4 linked regions of the Mus musculus genome follow. The main gene of each other region encodes a partner of the protein of the gene in region 3 in a complex. Links are inferred from orthologs where the notes say so. Each region holds a gene or a part of one and is shown on either strand. Other genes may lie near its edges. The genes, in order: Cript, Htr2c, Dlg4 and Shisa6.

Evidence for each region.
Region 1: the proteins of Dlg4 (region 3) and Cript are in contact, whole or in part, in a crystal structure (PDB 5HED), measured with the Rattus norvegicus proteins. The link is inferred for Mus musculus from reciprocal best matches to the Homo sapiens genes DLG4 and CRIPT. Residues at the interface, in NP_062567.1 of Rattus norvegicus: Gly322, Leu323, Gly324, Phe325, Asn326, Ile327, Val328, Gly329, Gly330, Glu331, Asp332, Glu334, Ser339, His372, Glu373, Ala376, Leu379, Lys380, Arg399, Phe400; in NP_063972.1 of Rattus norvegicus: Lys94, Asn95, Tyr96, Lys97, Gln98, Ser100, Val101.
Region 2: the proteins of Dlg4 (region 3) and Htr2c are in contact, whole or in part, in an NMR structure (PDB 2MHO), measured with the Rattus norvegicus proteins. The link is inferred for Mus musculus from reciprocal best matches to the Homo sapiens genes DLG4 and HTR2C. Residues at the interface, in NP_062567.1 of Rattus norvegicus: Gly74, Leu75, Phe77, Ser78, Ile79, Ala80, Asn85, Pro86, His87, Ile88, Thr97, Lys98, His130, Val134, Leu137, Lys138; in NP_036897.2 of Rattus norvegicus: Val452, Val453, Ser454, Glu455, Arg456, Ile457, Ser459, Val460.
Region 4: Dlg4 (region 3) and Shisa6 share a complex: the UniProt entries of both Homo sapiens proteins name them as parts of the postsynaptic hippocampal AMPA-type glutamate receptor (AMPAR) complex. The link is inferred for Mus musculus from reciprocal best matches to the Homo sapiens genes DLG4 and SHISA6.

Annotation. Positions count from the first base shown.
Region 1 is NC_000083.6:87,023,180-87,029,658, reverse strand, and holds the start of Cript (cysteine-rich PDZ-binding protein), read right to left. Parts: upstream 4,099-6,479; 5' UTR 4,000-4,098; coding exon 3,984-3,999; intron 1,961-3,983; coding exon 1,895-1,960; intron 1-1,894. Other genes in the region: Pigf (phosphatidylinositol-glycan biosynthesis class F protein), read left to right, coding at 5,767-5,994. UniProt on the Homo sapiens protein: As a component of the minor spliceosome, involved in the splicing of U12-type introns in pre-mRNAs. Involved in the cytoskeletal anchoring of DLG4 in excitatory synapses.
Region 2 is NC_000086.7:147,073,056-147,078,743, forward strand, and holds part of Htr2c (5-hydroxytryptamine receptor 2C precursor), read left to right. Parts: intron 1-2,675; coding exon 2,676-2,992; intron 2,993-5,688. UniProt on the Homo sapiens protein: G-protein coupled receptor for 5-hydroxytryptamine (serotonin).
Region 3 is NC_000077.6:70,040,280-70,044,882, forward strand, and holds part of Dlg4 (disks large homolog 4 isoform 6 precursor), read left to right. Parts: intron 1-1,060; coding exon 1,061-1,237; intron 1,238-1,492; coding exon 1,493-1,529; intron 1,530-1,621; coding exon 1,622-1,649; intron 1,650-1,777; coding exon 1,778-1,825; intron 1,826-1,901; coding exon 1,902-2,003; intron 2,004-2,291; coding exon 2,292-2,464; intron 2,465-3,378; coding exon 3,379-3,488; intron 3,489-3,996; coding exon 3,997-4,088; intron 4,089-4,309; coding exon 4,310-4,416; 3' UTR 4,417-4,603. UniProt on the Homo sapiens protein: Postsynaptic scaffolding protein that plays a critical role in synaptogenesis and synaptic plasticity by providing a platform for the postsynaptic clustering of crucial synaptic proteins.
Region 4 is NC_000077.6:66,522,405-66,528,693, forward strand, and holds the start of Shisa6 (protein shisa-6 precursor), read right to left. Parts: upstream 3,723-6,289; 5' UTR 3,561-3,722; coding exon 2,905-3,560; intron 2,147-2,904; coding exon of another isoform or gene 2,008-2,146; exon of another isoform or gene 1-2,007. UniProt on the Homo sapiens protein: Involved in maintenance of high-frequency synaptic transmission at hippocampal CA3-CA1 synapses.

The sequences.
Region 1 (6,479 bases), on a different chromosome or scaffold from region 3:
AATACTTCCCACAAGATTTCACCTCAGTGATGCTGATCTCTTCTTAATCACTGCTAATTTCTTAGCTCCAGCTAACCAGCATCAATTGTCCCAGTAGTTCCTTCCATTCTTAACTCTAGAGCCAGAGCCACATGGCTGAAGCTGCCAAGTTCTGTTGCTTGCAGGAACTAGAACATGACCCGCTTGTACTATTACATTATCACTGGCTTTATGTTTTCCAAATCCTTCACTGCCTAAGCTTGGCTATCCTGGATCTTGCTCTGTAGATTGACCTTGAACGCAGAGATCAGCATGCCTGTCTCATGGGATTAAAGGTATGTACCACCAGGCCTGGATCTAAATTTAGCTGGTAGGATCTTGCCCCAAGGTCCCACTCCCTTAATCTGTTATTTCCTAGAACACAGGTTTTTGCTCTATTTCACTTCCTAGTATGCCTTTAATACTCGAACCATATATTTTATATTTTTCCTTTCTAAGCTTGCTATGCTTGTTCAAACTTCTCTTTATGAGACTTAACCAGAGAACAAAGTCTCTGCTGGGCTTTTTTGGAACTTCCTTTGTCAATGCAATTAATCTGAGTCTCTTCACCTTAGCCTCAGGCAGACTTTTCAGACAAGGGCAAAAAGTAGCCACATTCTTCACCAAAATACCACAAAAACAGTCTTTATGCCACATACTGAAATTCTTCTCCTTTGAAATCTCTTGGGCCAGGTCAACACAGTTACTCCCAGCAACAAAGTCTTCCAGATTCCTACTAGGATGACCCACTAAGCCCCATTTAAAGCATTCCACTGAGTTCCAAATCCAAAGTCCAAAAATCCACATTCTTTCAAATAAAAGCATGGTCAGGCCTATCACAGCAATACCCCACTCCTGGTACCAACTTCTGTCTTAGTTAGGGTTTTACTGCTGTGAACAGACACCATGACCAAGGCAAGTCTTACAAAAAAAAAACCAAAAAAACAAAACAAAAAAAAAACAAACATTTAATTGGCGCTGGCTTACAGGTTCAGAGGTTCAGTCCATTATCATCAAGGTGGGAGCATGGCAGTTTCCAGGGAGGTATTGGTGCAGGCAGAGCTTAGAGTCCTACCTCTTCATCCAAAGGCTGCTAGTGGAAGACTGACTTCCAGGCAACTAGGGTGAGGATCTTAAGGCCACATCCACAGTGACACACCTACTCCAACCAGGCCACACCTCCCTGGTACAAGAATATACAAACCATCACAGACCCTTATTGTAATTTTTAAAAATCTTCATATAATAGCCCAGTTTTTAATGAACACTGTATAATTGCTTTATTGTTCAGTCTTAAAGTAGTGCTTTGACAATGCCTACACTCTTTTTGTATGTGTAACATCTGTCTACTTTGGTTTTTTTTTGTTTGTTTGTTTGTTTTGTTTTGTTTTTGTTTTTCGAGACAGGGCTTCTCTGTATAGCCCTGGCTGTCCTGGAACTCACTTTGTAGATAGACCAGGCTGGCCTCGAACTCAGAAATCCGCTTGCCTCTGCCTCTCAAGTACTGGGATTAAAGGCATGCATCACTGCACTGGGCTTTGCTGTATGCGTTTAATAAAAAAAAAAAGTAAGGCAGTCTAAATTTGTTTGAGAATGTAAAACTTAGATGTGGGAAGGAAATGTAAACACAGACTTTACCAATCTGAATCAAATAGACATACATTGAAATAATAATTTTACTACTTCTTGACTATATGAGGAATCCGTACATGTAACTCAGATGATGAAGAAAGATGTGCACTCCCAGGAGAACCGAGCCCTCGGTGTTTACTGGGCAAGGTAATCAGCATCTAACACTGCACTGTGCAAAATGTGACGCACCAGAGCAGGGCCACAGCGCTTGACCCAGCTCCTGTCTCCTAACAGCAAACAGTACCTGTGGTGTTCCGGGCACCATCTTTCCATGTGTCTGGAGTGATAACTCTGCCGAGTTTCTTTTCACCTGTGGTCGCCAAGACAGCAAAAGAGAACAGCTGTCATCTAATAAGCAAACTGTGTGGAAATAAAATAACAAAACCCATTTCTTTGCTAACTTTACAATAATAATTTAAAATGATAAATATATTGTATCGCCTAAAGTACATAACGATATGAAGTCAGATTATAGGAGGAACCTACTAATGCCAGGGTAGAAACCAATGAATGAAAACTTAAGATAGTAACAGTGGGCAACAGATACTGGTTCTAAATAAAACTTACAGGACAAAACGATGCTCTAGTAACAGGCTTTAACTGATTATACTTTAAGCAGTTCTGACAAACTTATTCATTCCTCTCTCTCACATTCTCTAATCACCTAGTCTGTACAAAGCACCATGCAAGGTTCTGATGAAAACAAAGCAATTTAAAATGATAAATATATTGTATTTATATGCTCCAAATGGACAGTTACTTAGTACTGTTTAAGTAGGGCACTGTTCAGGGTGGAGAAGAGCACTGGATGCTCAGTGGTATGGATGTGCCAGCTGAGGCCAAACAGTCCTCAAACACCTAACAGAACAAGGAAAAGAAAGCACACTGAAACCAAACTCCCTGGAACTCAGTAAATGCACAACTGGAGAACACGTACGTGCCAAGTTCTAAGAGGTAACTCTAAAAAATTGGAGAAAAGTAACTTTCTCGAATAATGTGTGATACAAGGGAAGACTGAACTGAGGCGGCTGCTGACATTACAGCTTCTGTATGCAAGTACCTCAGTTTACTTACGGGGTGCATGCAATGAGCAGACAGACTGAGAGGCTACAGATAATAAGACCTTAGATTTCTCAGAAGAGCAGAGGAAATGACCTTTCAGGGCACAGCACAAAGGACGGCTTCACAATCTAAATACATTTAAGCCACATTTAATTAACCATTTATCCCACTTTCGAAAAGAATAAAAAACCGTTTAAGAATGGCACAGCTCTGGAGGGGTGTCTGTGTCCAGAGTTCTACATACTGAGGGGCTATGAACAAAATGGGTCCTGTATATCCGCCAGTAACTGAGATGTGGGTTGAATCTTGTCAGAGAAGGCTGTCTAGCCCATGAAAGAGATCAAGAGAAGAAAGTTGTTTTTAAACGAATCATCAGCTTTTGCAGCTACCAAAAAAAAAAAAATTAAATATTTACAACAAATCTTAAGGGTTTCATTGGAATTACTGAATGGTAACTAAAAGGGTTAAAAAGACCTTTCTAAAAGCCAGGGGTGACTACTTAAAGATTTCTTTGGTGGTGATGAGACTCTCTCCTTCACCTGACCCAAAGCTGTGAGTATTAATGAATTGACGGGATGGCTCAAAATATCCAATTTAACTTAATTTCAGATAGCCACTGAAGTAATTTTTAAAATAAAATCTAGCCGGGCGGTGGTGGTGCACGCCTTTAATCCCAGCACTGGGGAGGCAGAGGCAGGCGGATTTCTGAGTTCGAGGCCAGCCTGGTTTACAGAGTGAGTTCCAGGACAGCCAGGGCTACACAGAGAAACCCTGTCTCGAAAAACCAAAAATAAATAAATAAATAAATAAAATCTGTATTAAATGCGGCATGTTTTGTAGTAAGGAAAAGCAGAAAGTCAAGATTTAAACATTATTCGGGACATATTAATAATACTGGAAATTAACCATTGCTTATAATCTTAAGATGTAACCGAGAGCCTGGAACTTATACTTGTGACATCTGTCAACTCTTGATGCTACCAGAAAGATCGTGAAGATCCGATTTAAGCCTCCGAGAGCCAATCAAGAAGTTGTAACGGAGGAGACCCAGAAGGGGCGCGAGGACGACAACAGAAACAAACACAAGAGGCGCAGAACTGAAGCCATTCTCAACACAGAGCGGAAGGCTATGCTTACGGGACAGGCAAGAAGGGCCGAGGGGCAGGGTAGGAAGACACCGGTTACGCCACAGACCAGCAGGGGAAAACCAGAGAAATCCCGAGAGAACTTCTCAGCCCTCCACCTCCCCCAGAAGCAGCCCCTGAACTTACACTTTTCACACACCATCCTTACATGGGGGTGTCCCTGTGCCCTCAGCCGGCAAAGCAGGAGCAGCAACCCAAACACAACAACGCCCCAGCGGAGACGACTTCCTCTTCCGGCTACGTCAGCCCGCTTCCGGACTCTCAGCCCTCCCGCTCCGGCCTATCCCGTACCTAGAAAGTCGCGGGAGGGATAAACGCGAGCTGATGGGCGGGGCTGCTCTCATTATCCCGCCCCTTCTCGTCAACGATTGGCTGTGCGCTTGTGAGTTCCCCCCGCCCCCTCGCTTTCTGGTCTGCGCCTGCGCCAGGGGCCATGCCAGCCTGTAGCACCTGAGGGTGGGAGGCGGTGGTGTCCCCCTTCCCTTCGGCGGGCGGGAGAGTTAGGTAAGCCGGTGGCGGGTTGCTTCTCACACTCGCCCGGGGCGGGTGCAGGTCGCACCGCCGACCGCTGCGGTGACTTCCAGGGCGCCACGCTTCCGGCGGACCAGAGGATGCCCTGCGCTACCGACCCTCTGAGATGCCGGCGTCTATCACAGTCTCTCAGGGGACTCCGACCTCAGGTCACCGGGTCGGCCGCACGGGCTCTCTCTATGATGGCGACCTCCAGTTGCCCACACTGCGCCGTCCGAGGCTGGGACGGAGCCACCTGGGTGGGGTGGAGCTGCGGTCCGCACCTGAGCAAAGGCTGCTCAGGAGGAGGGCTCGGGAGCAGCCAAGCCTTCCGACCCCGTTCTCACGGGATCGCGAGTCCCGAGGGCGGCTTCCCAGGTGTGGTGTCCTGGGTCGGGGACTCGCTCGCCGGTGTCACCTTTGCGTTTGGGTACCGCTCGCGCTCGCCGTGTTAGATGGGTGTTTGCCGGTGGCCTAGGATGGATTTCTGATCGCGCTTCCTGCCTGACCCCGCAGTGGAAGGGAGAATCTGAGAAACTTTCCCCAAGTCTTTTCACGGCTATGCGTTCTTGTCCCGACCCTGGAGGATTTCTTCTTGTTTAAAGAGGCGATGCTTGAAATGGCTTGTGCGTGTGTAACCTTGGCCGTATCTGCTAACTTGTTCATCCAGTTTTCTTAATCAGTATCATTTGCTTTTGAAAACGATAAGTGTGAATGAAATGAGGGCTAATAGCACCATGCCCAGACTTGCGCTTTTACCTTTCCTGCTAGTTCCTCACCCTGCGGTGTGGATGTTACTTTTTGGGCCCGATTTTTACTACATTGTAACATGTGTTACTTTTAAGTTCTTAATTAACTTTAGTCAGTATAACATAGAAACTGTTCTCTAGGTCAAATATATGTATTTAGAGACTGGAAACTATTGTTTCTCCTCCCACTCGCGTTCTGCTATTACCATTATTTAACATCTGTACAGACAGTGTGAGCCCTTAGTGTAGCATAATGACCATCTTAAGATGGTCCTCCACCATTTGCATATCTAAGTGTATACTTGGCTGTCATTTGGGAACTGCAGTGATTTTCGCCAAAAAAGTAAAATTAGTTGCTGGTGTCTGGCACATGTCCCCTTTGTAGAAACCAGTCACAAATATTTAAATTTTTACAGGAATTTTCTTTTTGAGGCTCTGAAAGATAATGTATACCATATTAGAGAAATCTAAAGTAACAATTAAAATCTGCATATGCTTGTTCTGTGTTTTGAAACAAATATGTTGCCCATAGAAAATTATTAATACATGGTTTATATTTAGAGTATTGAAGTGCTTGGGACAATGGAAAAAAAATCATTACATGTTTTTCTTAATTTGTTTTCTACTAGATAGCTACCCAAGAAAACATCATGAAAGATACTGACATCAAGAGACTTCTGTATACCAATCTTTTGTGCGTATTTTCAATTTTCCTAAGCATTTTCATTCCGTCCTTCTTCGTGGACAACTTCTCAGTATTGGAAGCTCATTTGACCTGGCTGTGTATCTGCTCTGCTTCTGTGACCACTGTCAATCTCTTGTCGTACTTAGTAGTGAAACCGAATGTGTCCTCTAAAAGAAGTTCATTGTCACATAAGGTAAGGGTCACTTCTGTTGCTTCACTGGCTTTAGGGTGGAGGTTACAGTGTAAGAAGGAAGTTTCGCTTCGTCCTTATTGAGTGATTTACAGTGTAAAGGGAACCAAGTCTCCCCCGCCCCCACCAGAGCAGTAGCCTGTTACCTTCCTACAGTGTTTGATAGATTCTTGCTGTGCATTCATTGTGGAATTATGACTCCTTCAATGCATCACAATGTGAATGACCTATATAAGCATGGTTTTATCACGGAAGATAACTTACAAGACACTGCAGTTTATTTTCATTTACTTTTGTACATTTTTTTAGGTATGTGGGTGGGCAAATGCATTTGGGGGCTGGAGGACAACTTGAAGTGTTATCTTTAGAAACCCTGTCCGCCTGCCCTGTCCAGGACATTTAATGGTGTGGAGCTTATCACTTAGGCCAGAGTGGCTCTCCAGAGAGCCTCTGTCTCCCCAGTGTGGGGACAAGCAAGCCCCATACCT
Region 2 (5,688 bases), on a different chromosome or scaffold from region 3:
TTTAATAGAATGCAATGTAAGGACTAGTAAAGAATCAAATATGAGAACAAAGCCACTGAAAGTCTCACTTAACCCAAACCTACTATTTAAGGAGTGTATAAACCCTGAGCAGAATAACCAAAGTCTTGAATCCCTTTGCTCCTATGTAATAACTGAAAATAATAAAGAGATAGATAGAAGTAAAAATAAAAACTAGATAGATAGATAGATAGATAGATAGATAGATAGATAGATAGATAGAAGTAAATAAATAGATCTCATCCAGAATAGCCAGTCACAAATGATGTTTTCAAACAGAAAAAAATTTAATTATTTTATTTATTTACATTTCAGGCATAACACCCCTCCTGTCCTCCCTCCCACAGTTCCTCATCCCATTTCTCCTCCCCCTTGCCTCTGAGAGGGTGCTCTCCCCTCCAAACTCTCCCCTTCCCTGGGGCCTCAAGTCTCCCAAGAATTAAGAGCATCTTCTCCCCTGAGGACAGACCAGTCAGACTTCTGCTCCATATGTGCCAGGGCCCTCAGACCAGCTGCTTTATGTTAACTGGCTGGTGGCTCAGTCACTGAGAGCTTCCTGGGATCTCAGTTGGTTGAGACTGCTGGTCTTCCCACGGGTAGTTTTCCCTTTCAGCTTCTTCAGTCCTTCCCCTAATTCAGCCACAGGGGTCCCCGACTTAAGGCCAATGGTTGGGTGTAAGTATCTGTATGTGTCAGCCACCGGCTATTAGGATCTCTTGGAGGGCAGCCATGCTAGGCTCCTGTCTGTAAGTACATCATAGCATCAGTAATAGTGTCAGGCTTTAGTGACCTCCCATGAGATGGATCCCAAGCTGGGCCAGTCATTAGACCTCCTTTCCCTCAGTCTCTTCTCTATTTTCATCCCTATAATTATTTTAGACTAGAACAATCCTTGGTTAGAAATTTTAACTGTGGGATGGCAATCCAGTTCCTACACTTGAGGCCCTGTCTATTTACTGTAGGTGGACTCTTCGAGTTCCCACTTCCCAATGTTGAGCATTTTGGCTAAGGTCACCCCAATTGAGTCCTAAGAGTCTCTTGACTCTTGGGTCTCTAGAATTTTCTAGAGAGCCCACTCACCTCCCATCCTCCTGAGGCAGTGTAGTTCCATTCTTTCTCTTGGCCCTCTGGGCTTCTCTCCTGTCCCCCCATACCTGATCCTGTTTCCCTTTTCCCCTTCCCATCCCCTCTCCTATCCAGGTCCTTCTCTTCCGCTGCCCCCCCCCCCATATTATTTTATTCCCTCTTCTAGGAGGGAGGAAATTTTGAACATAATTGTTGTCTTATTTTTCTCATGGAAGATACATTTGTTGGTTTTGTTGGACACACCTTAGGAGCTCACATCTTTAGCAAATATTTGTGTTTTCAATGTAAATAAATCTCATCACTATGAGAGAAATTAATTTGAAATTAACAGAAGTGAAATAGAAACATCTCCCTTGTCTTATATCGCCACCTAACCTGAAATTCTTACTGGTAAAATATAAGGACCAATGTAAAAATATGTATTTAAAATAATTTAAGAGATTTAATACCTAACTCTACCTCTACCCTAAATGGGAATCAATCATTTACACACATTACTCTTAAGCCTAGAATTAAGTCCTAGAAAACCAAGGACACAAATGAGGTAGGCAGTAGGGAGCATTAAAGTTTAAGACACGAGGCAAGAAGCAGACAACCATTAGAAACTCACTTTGCAAGCACGAGAACCTGGAAATACTCCTAAAAAGAAATGAGTGTGCATTGCTGTCACAGCAGCTTTCAAAACAAATCATAAACTGTTCTGATAAAGTCTTATGCTTTCTTTTAAATTTAGAACAACACAATTCAACTTCCAAGTATCTTGTCTGGCCACTGGCTCCTTTAAGGAATTTTCCCATGATTTCTGTCACAGCTGTCTTAAAGAAATTCATATTTTAAAAATATAAAGAATAAAACATTAAGTCTGTCTCTGAAAGACAGATGTCACATTTTTTCTCTCATTTGTAGAGCCTTGACTTCATAGATACACTTAATCATGTATGACAGATGACATGAAGATAAAAGCAAAACTCTCTCAGGAACAAAGACATCTAAGAAGGGTGAGGGAATCTATTGAGTTGGAGGAAGACATATTAAAAGTACTTTCTATACTTACATGAAAATGGTCTTTTGTAATACAACATAATAAAATAAAATAAAAATCTAAAAGAAAATATAAATTATCACACTAAGTCAAATAATACTGTATTTTGAAATAGCAGTAATATTTAATATTTTAATATGGTCTGAACCTAGACCATATGATGGCCCCTGGTCCTGTCATTTACTTGGCTACATTGGCTGGGGAAAGTGGCAAAACCCTTTTTTTAACTTCATTGTTTTTTTCAGCTGCATAATGAGAACAAATCATTACTGATCTCCTGTGGGATATATATATGTGTGTGTGTGTGTGTGTGTGTGTGTGTGTGTGTGTGTGTGTGTGTGTGTAAACTAAGTGTCTACCTTATAGCAGTCACTCAGTAAAAGATAATGATAAAAATGGGAAATGAGGAGGATGGAGGTGGTCATGGTCATAGTAGTGGGAGGGGGCTACAAGCTATTGTATAGTATATATGATATATTGTGAGTAAAGGGAGCCTAATTTTCCTTTCTCTTTTCTTTTTAATTTTCAGTGTGCACCTAATTGGCCTATTGGTTTGGCAGTTCGATATTTCCATAAGTCCAGTAGCAGCTATAGTAACTGACACTTTTAATTCCTCCGATGGTGGACGCTTGTTTCAATTCCCGGACGGGGTACAAAACTGGCCAGCACTTTCAATAGTCGTGATTATAATCATGACAATAGGGGGCAACATTCTCGTTATCATGGCAGTAAGCATGGAGAAGAAACTGCACAATGCTACCAATTATTTCTTAATGTCCCTAGCCATTGCTGATATGCTGGTGGGACTACTTGTCATGCCCCTGTCTCTGCTTGCAATTCTTTATGGTGAGTACACTTTTACTCATTTCTCACTCTCATAGTTTTGTAATAATCATCAGGATATAATTTATACAGTTAATAATTTATCTAAAGAATTTGAAAAAAATATAGAATAAAACAAAATGTGAGCAAGAAAAAATGATTGGATATGTTGAGATTTATGAAATAAAACTTTGGCAGAGTTTTCAAAAGTTAAAACACCTATTTTATAATATATTGAAATTATCCATAAATACTTTATTTGCAGGTGTCATATATAAACAATAAATAACCATACAAAATGGGATAGTGGCAAAATGGCACCCTGACCTGTATTTGGGCTAGCATATTTATTGTCAGTGCCATCTCTAATACACAAAAGGAAAGCAAAATTTGTCTTCTATAATGATTTTATTTTAAGAAATGTTTCTGAGTAACAGATATTGAACCCAGGGCCTAATTTACTCTAGGCAAGCACGCAATCACTGCTATACCCACAGCATATGTAATCTTTTATGTTGACAAACTAAATAGTTGGTACAAATTATGCACTTAATAGGCATTGCTCTTCTTTTTCATGCAGTTTATAAGTCATGGTTTTATAAGGAGACGAGGTATAAAAATTAATTTCTGAGCACATAAATGTAAGTTCATATCACAACTATCACAAAACTCAGCTTCAATGATTTTCAAGAGGCTTTAATTTTTTCTTTGATTTTCTGCCATCTCTTTGCTTTATTCATTTTAATCTACGTTTTGGTTTTGGTTTTGGCTAGTACTCATGATTTTAGAAAAATCAAAATCACATTAAAATCCTGGTCAAGAATACTAAATTGTCTTCCAGAGGACCTGAGTTCAATGTCCAGCACCTACATGGCAGTTGACAAGTATTTTTTACTGCAGTCCCAGGAGATCTGATGCTCTCTTTTGACCTCTGCAAAAGACAGAGGTCTTTTGACCTAGACAGTAGAACATGAATGTGGTGCAGACATACATACAAGCTAAATACTCATATACACACAAAATTAAAAGAAAAACTTCAAATGTTTTAAAATATTAATAAAAAATAAAATCAATGAATCAAAGCTCATGTGAACTTCCTGCCTCAGACTCCCAAGTAGCTGTTGCCTCCAGTATATATCACCACTGTATTTGTCTTTCAATAAGTACCACAACTACAAAATTTGAAAATCAAGTTCAAAGTTAATTGCTAATATGTGGAAGTCCCAGTTTAACTTTAATTGTTAACATACTCATCTTCCTGTAGAGGAAAAGAGAGAACAAGAACTTGTCCAACAAGTTCTCCAAATGCATAATGGAATTGGACAATGAAAATATTACTAAAATAGTATCTAGTCTAAAAATCTGAAAAGAAGAACAATGTGTCTTGAAAAAGATCTCTTGTGACACTTAAAACTTAGCCACTCCCAAATCTTCAGTGGCAGTACCTAATTTTATCATCTCTAAATGCCTTATAGATAAGGCACTCTTAGAAGCTACAGTTTTCCTATTCCACTGAGTTTCAGTGACATGTTTATCTCAAAGCATCTGTATCACACTGCTTATTTGGCTTTTTACTTCTCCAGTATTAGTGAAGACAAGGTCACAGAAACATAGTGAAACAGCCACTTCAAAGGTACTGTTTCCACCGTGAGCTCCCCACTGCATGCCTTTTTGGGGTAGATCAAAGGCAGGCTACAAAAAAATGTTATAAGGAGGCCACAGGGAGTTTAGAGGTCAGGTGGGTTGGGGGTGGGGGCATCCACGTGGAGACAGAGGGGGTGGGGAGGAGTTGTGGGATGTGGAGCTGTCAGAGGATGGATGGGGGGCAGGGAATGGAATATGAAGTATAAAAAATAAATTATTTTTTTAAAAAGTGTAACAAAAAAAATTTTTAAAAGAACATTATGAAGACCCCGGAGGTTGATCTAAAAAACTCCATTACAAAGTAGACCGAAAATTTCCCAAGATTACCTTCAAGTCACAGACTGAAAAGTCTGCACAAATCTCAAGAAAAAGTAACTTCCTGGAGGTAGAACAGAGTGAAAAGGAAAAATAAACAAGAGAGGCAGAATTGACATTCGAAGAAAGGGGAGGAGGACAGTGAAATGGTGAAGAGATTAAAACATATTTTATATGACAGAAATGTCACATAAAAACACCATTAACTCTCCCCATATTGCCTTCCACTCTTCACATAAAGCCCTTGAAAGAAACCATGCTTCTTATGTATCAAAAGATGGCCTAGTCGGCCATCACTGGAAAGAGAGGCCCATTGGACATGCAAACTTTATATGCCCCAGTACAGGGGAACGCCAGGGCCAAAAAGGGAGAGTGGATGGGTAGGGGAGTGGGGGTGGGTGGGTATGGGGGACTTTTGGTATAGCATTGGAAATGTAAATGAGCTAAATACCTAATAAAAAATGGGAAAAAAAAGAAACCATGCTTCTATATCTGCGAAGATGTTCTTGAGCTTAAAACATTAGCAATCAGCAGCAAAGATGCAAATATTCCTCAACCGTGTCAGTACTATAGACTAAATCACAATTGAAGACATTTCCTGGAAACTTCATCAAGATACTTCAGACCCAGAAAGAAATATCATGAATTTCCTATCATATGAAGACTCTAGAGTTATTAATACGACAAACAAATGATAGGAAAATATAATGAAATCTATTTGAGAAGAGGATGAATAAAATTTTCTTACAGCAAATCTAGAG
Region 3 (4,603 bases):
GCTTTAATAATCTTCCTGCCATAGATACAGGCACTTGTCACCATGCCCAGCTTTGGGATATTTTGAGTCTTCCTCCAGCTTGGCACCCTTGTGGGAAGCCTCTGCGGAAGGACTGCAGCTCCTCTGTGCCCGCCGCCTGTCTTTCTTACTTCTTGCCCTTCCTTCCATCTCTGTGCTAGGGATTGAATCCAGGGCTCCGTACATGTTAGGCAGGCACCAAAACCACCGTTGAAAATCCACCTCAGCTCACCTCCCGACTGCTCAGTAGCATTTTCTCCCTTCTCGGGGCCTCTTTTCTCATGAGTCCCCTTCCTGTCTCTTCACAAGGCGTTGAGGTCTCGTCCCTCCCCTTCCCTGTCTCTCCCCTCCATCTGCTTTCTTTGTTCAGGTGGCTGGTCTTATCTGCCCTCTGCTATACTGGTGTCCCTGAGAGCTGTGTGGCCTGGTGGGATGCCTTCTTGGAGGTTCCAACCATTCTGGATGTTGCCTTTAGGCCATCTCCATTGGGTTGTCCACAGGCTTGTCACAGCCAACATGTCTTAGACTCAGCTTGCTGTGTTTCTCCTGGATGCCTGTGTTATGTCTTAGGGACCCACACCTAAGCGCTCCCTCTCTGTGGGAGGCTAGCAGGTGCTGGGGGTCATTTAGTTCTCACTGCATGACTCGGGGGCTTTTCTCCCCAGCCCCACTGCTTTTCTCTGCACCTTTGTTCTTTCAGAAACTTCCCAGAGCTTTTTGTCCTTAGACAGGTCTGGGATTGCTTACCGTGTGTGTGTGTGTGTGTGTGTGTGTGTGTGTGTGTGTGTGTGTGTGTGTGTGTGGGTGTGTGGGTGTGTGGGTGTGTGGGTGTGCATGTGTGTGTGTGTGCCACCCGGGAGGTTCATACTTTGCTTGCAGATCCCGTGTGTGTGTGTGTGTGTGTGTGTGTGTGTGCCACCGGGAGGTTCATACTTTGCTTGCAGATCCCTTGTCCAGAATCTGGCTGGCTCTCGGGGTGCCTGGTGAATCTTTCCTGGGGTCTTCAGCCAGGCCCTGACCCATAGTCACTTGTGTTATCCAGGGCCCTGTTTGACTACGACAAGACCAAGGACTGCGGTTTCTTGAGCCAGGCCCTGAGCTTCCACTTTGGGGATGTGCTTCATGTAATTGACGCCAGCGACGAAGAGTGGTGGCAAGCGCGGCGGGTCCACTCTGACAGTGAGACCGATGACATTGGCTTCATTCCCAGCAAACGGCGGTGAGGCTCCTGGGGCCCTGAAGCTTTCCTGATAGAGACGTCCACGTCCACATGGTCCCCCAGGGTGGGCATTCAGTAGGGACTCCTGGGAATCTGCTGGGGACCATGGCTCCCATCAGCCTCTGGGAGAGAACGTCTCCTCCGTGAGGGACATAGGGCCCAGGTGCTGCTGGAAGAAGGGGTTCCCACCTGGACCAGAGGGCCTCACTGAGCATTTCCTGACTGTCCCCCACTCTTCCTCTATGTATCCCATAGGGTCGAGCGACGAGAGTGGTCAAGGTTAAAGGCCAAGGTAGGTGGAAGGTAGATGAGGAACTTGGTGGAGAAGTGGTCGGGGTGGCCTCTAAATCCCAAGCCTACCACGAGAATTGCTTTTTCTTCTAGGACTGGGGCTCCAGCTCTGGATCACAGGGTAGGTAGAGTTAATTGGAAAGCTGTGGGATGAGCTGAACGTGGAGTTCCCCTTGGGCAAAGCAGGCAAGATGGTCTCCAGGTCACCTGCCTTGCAGAGCCCCTTGCCGATGCCCTGTCTCCTACCAGGTCGAGAAGACTCGGTTCTGAGCTATGAGACGGTGACGCAGATGGAAGGTGAGCCTCTGCCCCAGCCTCGGCCCTTCTCCCCGCATGCTTTGCTGGCTGCCTGAGCCAAACCATTTCTCCCCAGTGCACTACGCTCGCCCCATCATCATCCTTGGGCCTACCAAAGACCGTGCCAACGATGATCTTCTCTCCGAGTTCCCCGACAAGTTTGGATCCTGTGTCCCTCGTGAGTACGGGGTCCTTGGATCTCTGTGGAGTTGGAGTTGGGGGACCCAAGGAGTCTCACTTTGTCAGGGCCATGACACTGGAGTAAAGCAGGACACAGATCACCTTAGAGGAGGGCTTTTATGTCTGCAGCCAACAAGGCTGGGCCAGAGCCCGGCGGGCCCCAGGGTGGCAGTTCTGTCCCACCTTCGTCTCAGTCTCTCTGGGTACTCTGGGGGGCTGGCTGATAATAGGCTGGCATCAAGGGGTGGTGGTTAGATCTTTGTGGGGCGGGATGACTTCTTGGCAGATACGACACGTCCTAAGCGGGAATATGAGATAGACGGCCGCGATTACCACTTTGTCTCCTCCCGGGAGAAAATGGAGAAGGACATTCAGGCGCACAAGTTCATTGAGGCTGGCCAGTACAACAGCCACCTCTACGGGACCAGCGTCCAGTCTGTGCGAGAGGTAGCAGAGCAGGTAAGAGCTGGCCGGCACGTCGTCCTCTTCCTCCTGCCCGCTCCCTACCCCATGGCCTCTTCCAGCTCTCTCTAACTCTCTTTCTCTCTGTCTCTTTCCCTGCTGGGTCTGCACTCCGCTCCTCCACCTCCTTCTCCTCTCGGGCAACTCTGACCGCCTGCTCTTCTGTGGCCTGCTCCCCTTGCTTCCTGACCCCATGCCCCCCACTGCCATCTGTCCTTGTCTCTCCTGCTTCTCTCTCCTTGCCCCATTTTCCTCTCATCCCGGGGTTTTGCCTTTGGTGGCTTTGCCTTTCCCAACTTGTTCCTTTCTTTCTTCCTGACTCCCCTCTGCTCCTTCCCTTTTTAAATGGGGGGGGGTCCCCACTACCCTCTCTCCCATCCTCCTTTATCCCCCTTTCCCTAACACTCCCCACACTGCCTGTCCTCCCTCTGTGGCTCTTTTCTCCATCTGCCTCCCCTCCCTCCCATCTGTCTCTCCCATTCCTTCCATCTGTCTGTCCTCTGTCCGTCCTCCCCTCCTCCCCCCTCTATCCTAATTCTGTTATCTTCTCCCTTCACTGTCTTTGCCCGCCTGCCCGGCTCTGCCCGCTGCATCCCACCTCTACCACCCCTCTTGCCTTTGCTCCACTTTCACCTTTCGGGTCCTCTCCCCCATCTCCTACACTCTGTTTTGCCCCCTTCCTGCCCTCCTGTGCTTGGCCTTCCGTCTTTCTGTCCCCCCTCCTCCCTATTGGTCACTCTGCCTACATCCCTCTTTCTCTTCTTTTGCCTACATGTCCCTTGGCATCTGTCACTTTCCCTTTGGCCAACCTCCTGCCCCCACCTTCCTATATTCTCTGTCTCTTCCTGGCACCTCTGTCTGTCCTTCCTGCTACCTGCTGGCCCCCCTCCGCCCACCCTGCCTGCCCCCAGGGGAAGCACTGCATCCTTGATGTCTCAGCCAATGCCGTGCGGCGGCTGCAGGCGGCCCACCTGCACCCTATCGCCATCTTCATCCGTCCCCGCTCCCTGGAGAATGTGCTGTGAGTATGGTCCCAGGGGCTCCCCCTCAGCTCCCTCCACCTGTGACCCTGGGCTCTCAAGGTCCCCTACCTTGATCTGTCCTTTCAGAACCTGGGACAGCAACTCCCACAGTGTTCAAAGAGCTGCATTGAGAGTTGAGAGTCAGGGCTTGAAACAATGGGGGGGGGGCTTTCCCCCTTCTCCTGCCTTGGGTTAGGCAGGCCTACAGTTCTCAGGAGCCCCCCTGGGGCATACACAGGCTGTTGCAAACCAGAACCTCAGAGGCAACTAACTGGGAGTCAGTCTGAATTCTTTCTATGGGGCTAAAGGCTGAAAGGATGAGTTTCAGAGGTCCTGGATGGGGTGGGTTGCCGTGAGCACATCTGTAGCCCCAGAGGGTATCAGAAATGATATCGTTTGCTGTGTGCTCCAACTATGAAAGAAGTTGTAATGCAGCCTGCCAGGAAGGAGGTAAAAATGCAGAGAGGGGCCTAGCCCTCACATCTGTGTCTCTCTCCCTCTTGACAGAGAGATCAATAAGCGGATCACAGAGGAGCAAGCCCGGAAAGCCTTCGACAGGGCCACGAAGCTGGAGCAGGAGTTCACGGAGTGCTTCTCAGGTGAGAGGCCAGGCAGTCCCGTGAGCCCCGAGGACAGGGTGTGCTGAGATTTGATGGAGCTGCTCTACTGGGTGTGGCCGGTGTGGGAAGAGGGGTCTTGTCAGTGGGCTCAGGGACCCATGGCTCCTGGCTGAAGGACTAGGAGGTGCTCCGGGCTTCGGGCTCCCTGGTCACATGTCTTTGTGACCTTGGCCTCACTTGCTGCTCTGCCTGACTTGCAGCCATCGTAGAGGGCGACAGCTTTGAAGAGATCTATCACAAAGTGAAACGTGTCATCGAAGACCTCTCAGGCCCCTACATCTGGGTCCCAGCCCGAGAGAGACTCTGATTCCTGCCCTGGCTTGGCCTGGACTCACCCTGCCTCCACCACCTGGGCCCTTGGTCTGGACTGAATAGCCCAAGCCCTTCGTACCCTAGCCTTTCTTCCCACCCTTCTTATTTATTTCCTTTCTGACTGGATCGAGCCCATTGGAGGGAGGACACTCCTCTCTGCATGTATCCCTGCACCCCAGATC
Region 4 (6,289 bases), about 3.5 Mb from region 3:
CCCAGAGAGCTGGCTATCTCTACTCCAGACACTGACTTCTCACTCAGAAACACGCTAGGGAGGGCTAATCACTTCTTGAAAAAAAGCAAAATCTGTTCTTCCCTGCAAGGGAGGGAGAGATGCAAGAGCCATGAGGAATACACATGCGTATGGCAAGCAGAGGGCTGCCCAGCCTGCGAGCACCAAGGCAGAGCAGATGGCCTATCTCTCTTCCATCTTTTCTCAAACTCCCACAATATCCCTTTGCAGTGAGGCTTTCCTCACTGAAACTCCCTCAGACACAGGACCACTTGCCCCAGGGCAGGAAGGGCCCAAGTCTGTCTATCATCAGGGAGGCTCACACACTGCAGCAGCTCTGCTCTCCCTTGCAGTAAAGACACATCACATCTCGGCTGCACTACTTCAAAAGAGCAGGAAACTGAAGCACATCCTATCTCCCTACCTGACCTCTGACCATGACCATTCTTGTTTCTCCCCACTTTCCCTAGGAAAAACTCATTACTGTGAATACATATCTCCTACAACCTTGCCTCTCTAACAACACAGACTACACAGCCCCCAACCCCACCTGGGTGGGGTAAGCAGTGACTTCTGAGGTCTAAGCAGAAGAAGATGAGCCCCCTCCCGCTCCTGCCCAGAGGAGCATGTGAGAGCGATGTGGGCACGCATCCTGACACACTTGGAAGGAAGACGTCCGGGTGATATGCTGTCTTGCCAGAACTAAAAAACGAAGTTCCCTAACCTACTCAAGGTCACTCCTGGTGTCCTCCTATCCCCAGCCCCCACCTGCTCACAAACACTGATAAGTATTGTCCCCTACACACCCAGTACCAGAGTGATGGTTTCCGTAGCACCCACCAGGCGAGGCTGCAGCTGCTGGAGAGGTGCTGTGAACTGAATGAAATCAGGGGGTGAATTTGAGGGAGAAACATTGCCTATTTCCATAATGATCTGAGGCCTGAAATTCAGCTCTTTCCCCCAGGGTTCACTCTCTCCTTCTCCCAACCCTAGAAACTGCCCCCTCCATGTGGGACAGAGACACTATGTGGGGAAGAAGAGAGGAACATCAAGAACCTCTTCAAAACCACATGGCAATGTCCAGTTTTCACAGGGATTCAATCTCAGACTTTAATCTCTGAGACTACAACCTTATCAACGTAGGCTGTCATGAACAAACTGAATAAGGAAGAAAGGGGGAGGGAGAGTGCGGGGATGGGGGAGGAGAAGGGGAGGAGTGGAGGAGGCAGGGAGAAACCCCAAGAGATGTTCGTGAGAATCAACTAGAAAGTGGTGAGAGCCAACGTGGGCTTACTGAGTCGAGACAGGAAAGAGGAGATGAGTCCCCGAGTCCTGGGTCAGAGGTAACACACGAGAAACAATGCACATCTGTTTCAGAAAGGCACCTGCCTCTAAGCCATTCTTTGCTTTGCAAACTGAGCCAAGCGAGAATTCACTGCCAGACCAAACAAACTCCTAAAAAGTGGTGTCTTGCTCTTAGTTTGTTCACAGTGCCCATCTTCTACATAGCAAGGCATGGAGACCACAGACTGTTGCTCACAAGCCTAGTCCAGTTCAAAGGGATGCTGAGTAAGCCCATGCTGGGAATAGCTACAGGAAGACTGTGGTGGCAAGGTCAGGTAATGAAGGGTTAAGAAGGGATGTTCCCTCTAGAGTGCATCCAAGTCTAGTCCTTGACATCTCCTCTCAACACCCACCAGATCAGGGTGGGAGAGGCAGGCAGAATCAGCTCTTCCAGCATGCCTAGAAATTTCTGCCTGCCTTCCTCTTTTCAGCAAGGTAGGGGTGATTAATGTTCAGAGCAGTGACAGGAGGAGGTTTAAGCCACGGAGATAATAAGCAATGTGCAGATATGAGCTAAAAGGTGGAGGGACCAGGCCAGCCTTGGTGGGTCAACTCACAAGCAGTGGGCTGGGGGCTGGGCCTGGGAACTAGGGCAGTGCCCACTCTGTGTGCCAGAAATGGAAGTGTTTCCTGGGGCAGGGCTTTTCATTGGAACCACATCCAACCATTCATCTTCATGGGGACGCTGGAAGCACAGCTGATTTCGCATCCTCTGCCTGTGCAGTTCCGAAAGGAGAGGCTGGGCTCCTGTTGTCCCTTTGGCTTTGACTTTCCAATGATCTCCCTGGGGAGCCAGAGACACGGGTGGGAGGAAATCAGAGTGGGACTGTGACTATCAGGTTTTCAACTCCTGTTACACATTTTGGAAGGGGACAGTAGACACTGTCTTTACCATGTGTGCAGTACAAGATGGCCTGAACATTACAGAAGCATGAACTCAGGGAGGTCTGCCTTGGGAGAAGTCCTCCAGTCTCATCAGGAAAGACAAGCACCCCACTGGGAGACCTACCCTCTGTGCTCTGTCAACACGCAATGGGGAACATTCTTCCAGGCAGAGGCAATTGCCCTTTCCATACCATCCTGCACTTAACACCTGGGAACACCCCCAGCTCACACTAACCCGCTTGCTGTTCTTTTCAGTGAGGTGCCCACACTGCTCTGCTCTTTATATTAAAGTGGCACGCCAGTTTTTAAAATAAATTCAAAAACAAAAAAACAAAACAAAAAACCTAAGCATGGTACAGCCCATAGTAAAGTGTCCACGAACCATGAAATACAGCCTGGGGATTATTGGTGAGATTCTTATCCTTGAACATCAGGAACTCCGTAGACTGGTACTTTGTGTTGCCATTCTTTCTAAAACCAAAAGCACACCTAGCTGCTTCCTACGGAATGCGGGAGAGCCTACTGCTCCTAAAGGAAGCGACTGTGGAAGTGACTTAGAAGGGGAGAGGTAGTACGCGCGAAGAGGACAGGGCCAGGCCCGTTAAGGGGGGCGCGAGGCCTGGGAACCCAAGGCAGGCACCCAGTAGCGCCTCTCACCTGTGGATGTTCATCTCTCGCGGAGGGCGGTGGGCCTTGTCATAGGAGACCTTGGCGAAGACGCCCGCCACGATGACGAAGGCGATCACCCCGCAAGTGATGTAGACGGTGAAGTTGGTCTTGTCCTTCTCCGGGTCGTACTTGTTCTCGGGCCCCGGCGACACTACCTTGGTGCTGGGCGTCTGCACCCATACGGGGCTTTGGTAGTTGGTGCACTGGCGCTGGTCCAGCTTCTCGTGGCGCTTCTTGCAGCAGAAGCGATAGTAGCAGGTGCCGCAGCAGTACAGGTAGCCGCTCTCGCTGTTGTTGCACTCGAACTCCTTGTCGTACTGGCCGCTCACGTCGTAGTAGCCCCAGCACGTCTCGTAAGTAACAGTCGCGCTGGCCGCCGCCGCCGCCGCCGCTGCCGCTGCTGCGGACTGTCCCCGCCGGCTGCCCGCCTCCGGGACGCCGGACGCTCGGGCGGTGCTGTTTAGTTCGCGGCCGCCTCGGGCCAGGGCGCCCCCAGCACGCCGACCTCCGACGGCTCCCGCGTTCAGGGTCCGGTTCCCGGAGCGGCCGCGGGCGGCGTCTGCGCCGGGCGGCAGGTGCAGGGACGCGAGCGACAGCAGCAGCGACAGCAGCAGAGGCGGCAGCAGGAGGCGGCGCAGCGCCATGGCGGGGCCGGGCGGGAGGGCGCGGGCGGACGCGGGCTGCAGGCCGCTGCCCCGGCGGCTGGCCGGGCTCCGAGGGCGGCCGGGCGGGCTGGAAAGGCGAGACGGACCGGTCAGCGGCGGGGAGATGGCGCCATCGAGGCGCGGGCGGCGGCGGGAGCGCACGGAGCGGCGGGGCGCGGGCTGCGCGGGGCTCTCAGGCTGCGCGCCGGCTCCGCGCTCCCCCTGCGGGCTCCGCGCGCCTAGCGGGCAGCCCCATCCCCCGCCCGCGGCAGCGGCGGCTCCGCGCGACTCGGCTCAGGCCGGCCCCGAAGCGCGGCTCCCGGAGGCGGCGGCAGCGGCGGCGTGGTCCCGTCCGGGCAGGTCCTGCGGGACGAGACGGGGCAGCGGTCACGGGGTGCGGAGAGCGGCGAGCAGCCGGGCGGAGAAGGAGCGCTCAGCCCTCGAGGAGTGCGTCCCGACTGGGACAGTGGCCCGAGGACGCGTGGAGAACCCCTGGGGAAGCCACCGGGCCGCCGAGCCCGGGGACGGTGCTGCCGACTGAGGCTGGGGTCCGGCGGGCAGCCGGGGTGCGCGGCGGCTGCACCTCAGTCACTCACCATGCCGGGCTGCGACTGCAGCGGCGGCGGCGGCTAGGCGGGAGCGCAGCGACCGGAGCGAGTGAGCGGAGCCGGGAACCGCCTGCACTAGTGCCGGAGCGTGTGCGATAGGAGAGAGGGAGACACACGCACTCACACAGCCGCACACGCGGGAGCGCCGCGCGGGGAGGGCGGGGAGGGAGGCCAGCCGCTCGCCGCCGCCCACGTTTCCACGCCTGGGCGCCCGGTTGGGGGACGGCAGGACTTCTCTTTGCCTCTTCCTCTCCCTCCTCCCCACCCCCCGCCTCGAAGCTTCGCGTCACCAACGCCGGGACACCAGTTAAGCGACTAAGATGGCAAAGAGGGAGCTCACCCCCACTACCTTCACCCCGGAGCAAGGCCAGAGTGAGCCCTCTGGAGCCGGCCAGCGGCAGGGTTAAACCTACTCTGACATTGCCCTTCTAGCCCTCTGGTCAAGTATTTCTAACCCTCCCTCACTCCCCCGCTTTACTTCAGCCTGGTCTTTGCGCTACCAGAAAGCAAGTTGGGGTTTCTGCAAGCCTCTGCCTCTCCCTAGTGGTGATGTTCACAGCCAAGATAAGAGGTCAAGCCCATTGCTACAGGTTCCTACACTGAGGCCAGGGGTCAAGTGGCTGTTGGGCCACCTAGTGTGATGAACTTAGGCTCCTTTCTCCTCCATCGCTCGTGCAGGAGTGAGATAGCTCCAGCTCTGGGTGACACCTCGAATTCCCTCTTTCTCCAACTTTTTTTCTAGCATTGAGACGAGAGTTAAAAAATAAATAAAAAGAAATAAATAAATAAAACTACCTGGGTTTTAAAGATTTCTTTGGAAAGCCCTACATTCCTGTCGTTGCTGCTGGAGGAGACAGATTAGAGAGTCCCTTGTGACCAGAGTGAGACCAGGCTGGCTGAAAGGAGACCCACGAGTCTGGCTTTCTAAGCTATGTGGCCACCCCAAGGGGGAGTCAGAGTCTTAGTTTGCTGTGTGTTGTGTGGAGAAGGTGGGAGACCCGAGAAGAGGAGCAACAGCCAGCCCCAGACCGTAGTCCTGAGAACTTTGGTGGGAGACAGAGGCAGGCTGTTAGAATGATAGTAACAGAGAATTTCCCTGAAGTGGTCTACTCAGTCCTGCTCACGATGTGCCTCAAACAAACTCTCAGCATTCAGGGAGTCTGGTGTTAAATGGATGGACTGAATTGGAGCTGAAACCCAGAACCCACGGCACAGAGGGACATTTTTACCTGAGATGGGAAGAGGGGGACTTCTCTGGCCGACCGTTCTAGAAACTCTCCGTGTGCTGCTCATTCTCTATCCCCTCCTCCTTCCTCTTCTTCCTCGGCACTTCCTCCGATTTCCTCGGCTTCGTCTCTTAATGGCTCTGTTAACAATCGTTTTTAGTGCCAATCCTGCCAAGCACACTGGTAAGTGCTAAGATAAGGAATGACAGTCCCTTCTCTCAGGAGTTCCTTTACAGAGGAGACAGTCAAATGACTTCTGCGTGGCATGTTTGTGTCATGACCGAGATGGGCACAGCCTATTCTGCGAGCAGGATACAGGCTTCTAGCATCACCCACGAGGGGAGCAGTGAGGGTCAAATACAGTTCTTGGGGTGCTAATGAAATGCCTGGTGAAGAATGGTTAGGAGTTAGAAAAACAAGACAGAATAAAGATGCTTCCAGCAGAGGCAGGGAAACTGGGAGAAAGAGGGTGGGTGAGCTAAGCATACACAATGGTGAAAGCCATAGGGGGGTTTCTAAACAAGGGCAGCCAGGAGGCACTGTATTCCTGCCAAAGAATTTGTGTTTAACAATGGCTGGGAAAATATTGGTAGGTTTGAATAGAAGATGCCATCAGATTTATAGGTTTGTTTCATCTTCAAGTCTATTGGAAGAGTGAACACTGACTGACCTGGACACAGAGAAAGCAGTCTGGAAGCTGTTGTACCCAGGCACAACATAAGGAAGCCTATGGGGCAGACATGTGAGAGGTGATACCTACTATGGAGATAATATTCTTACATCATCCAGAGCAGGCTCAAGGCAGTTCACAGTGGTCAGGCAAAGTGCCTTTGAGAGGTCTGCCCAGGGCAAGAGCAGAAGACTCGGGGGGCCGGGTAGGGGGGAATAGGCACAC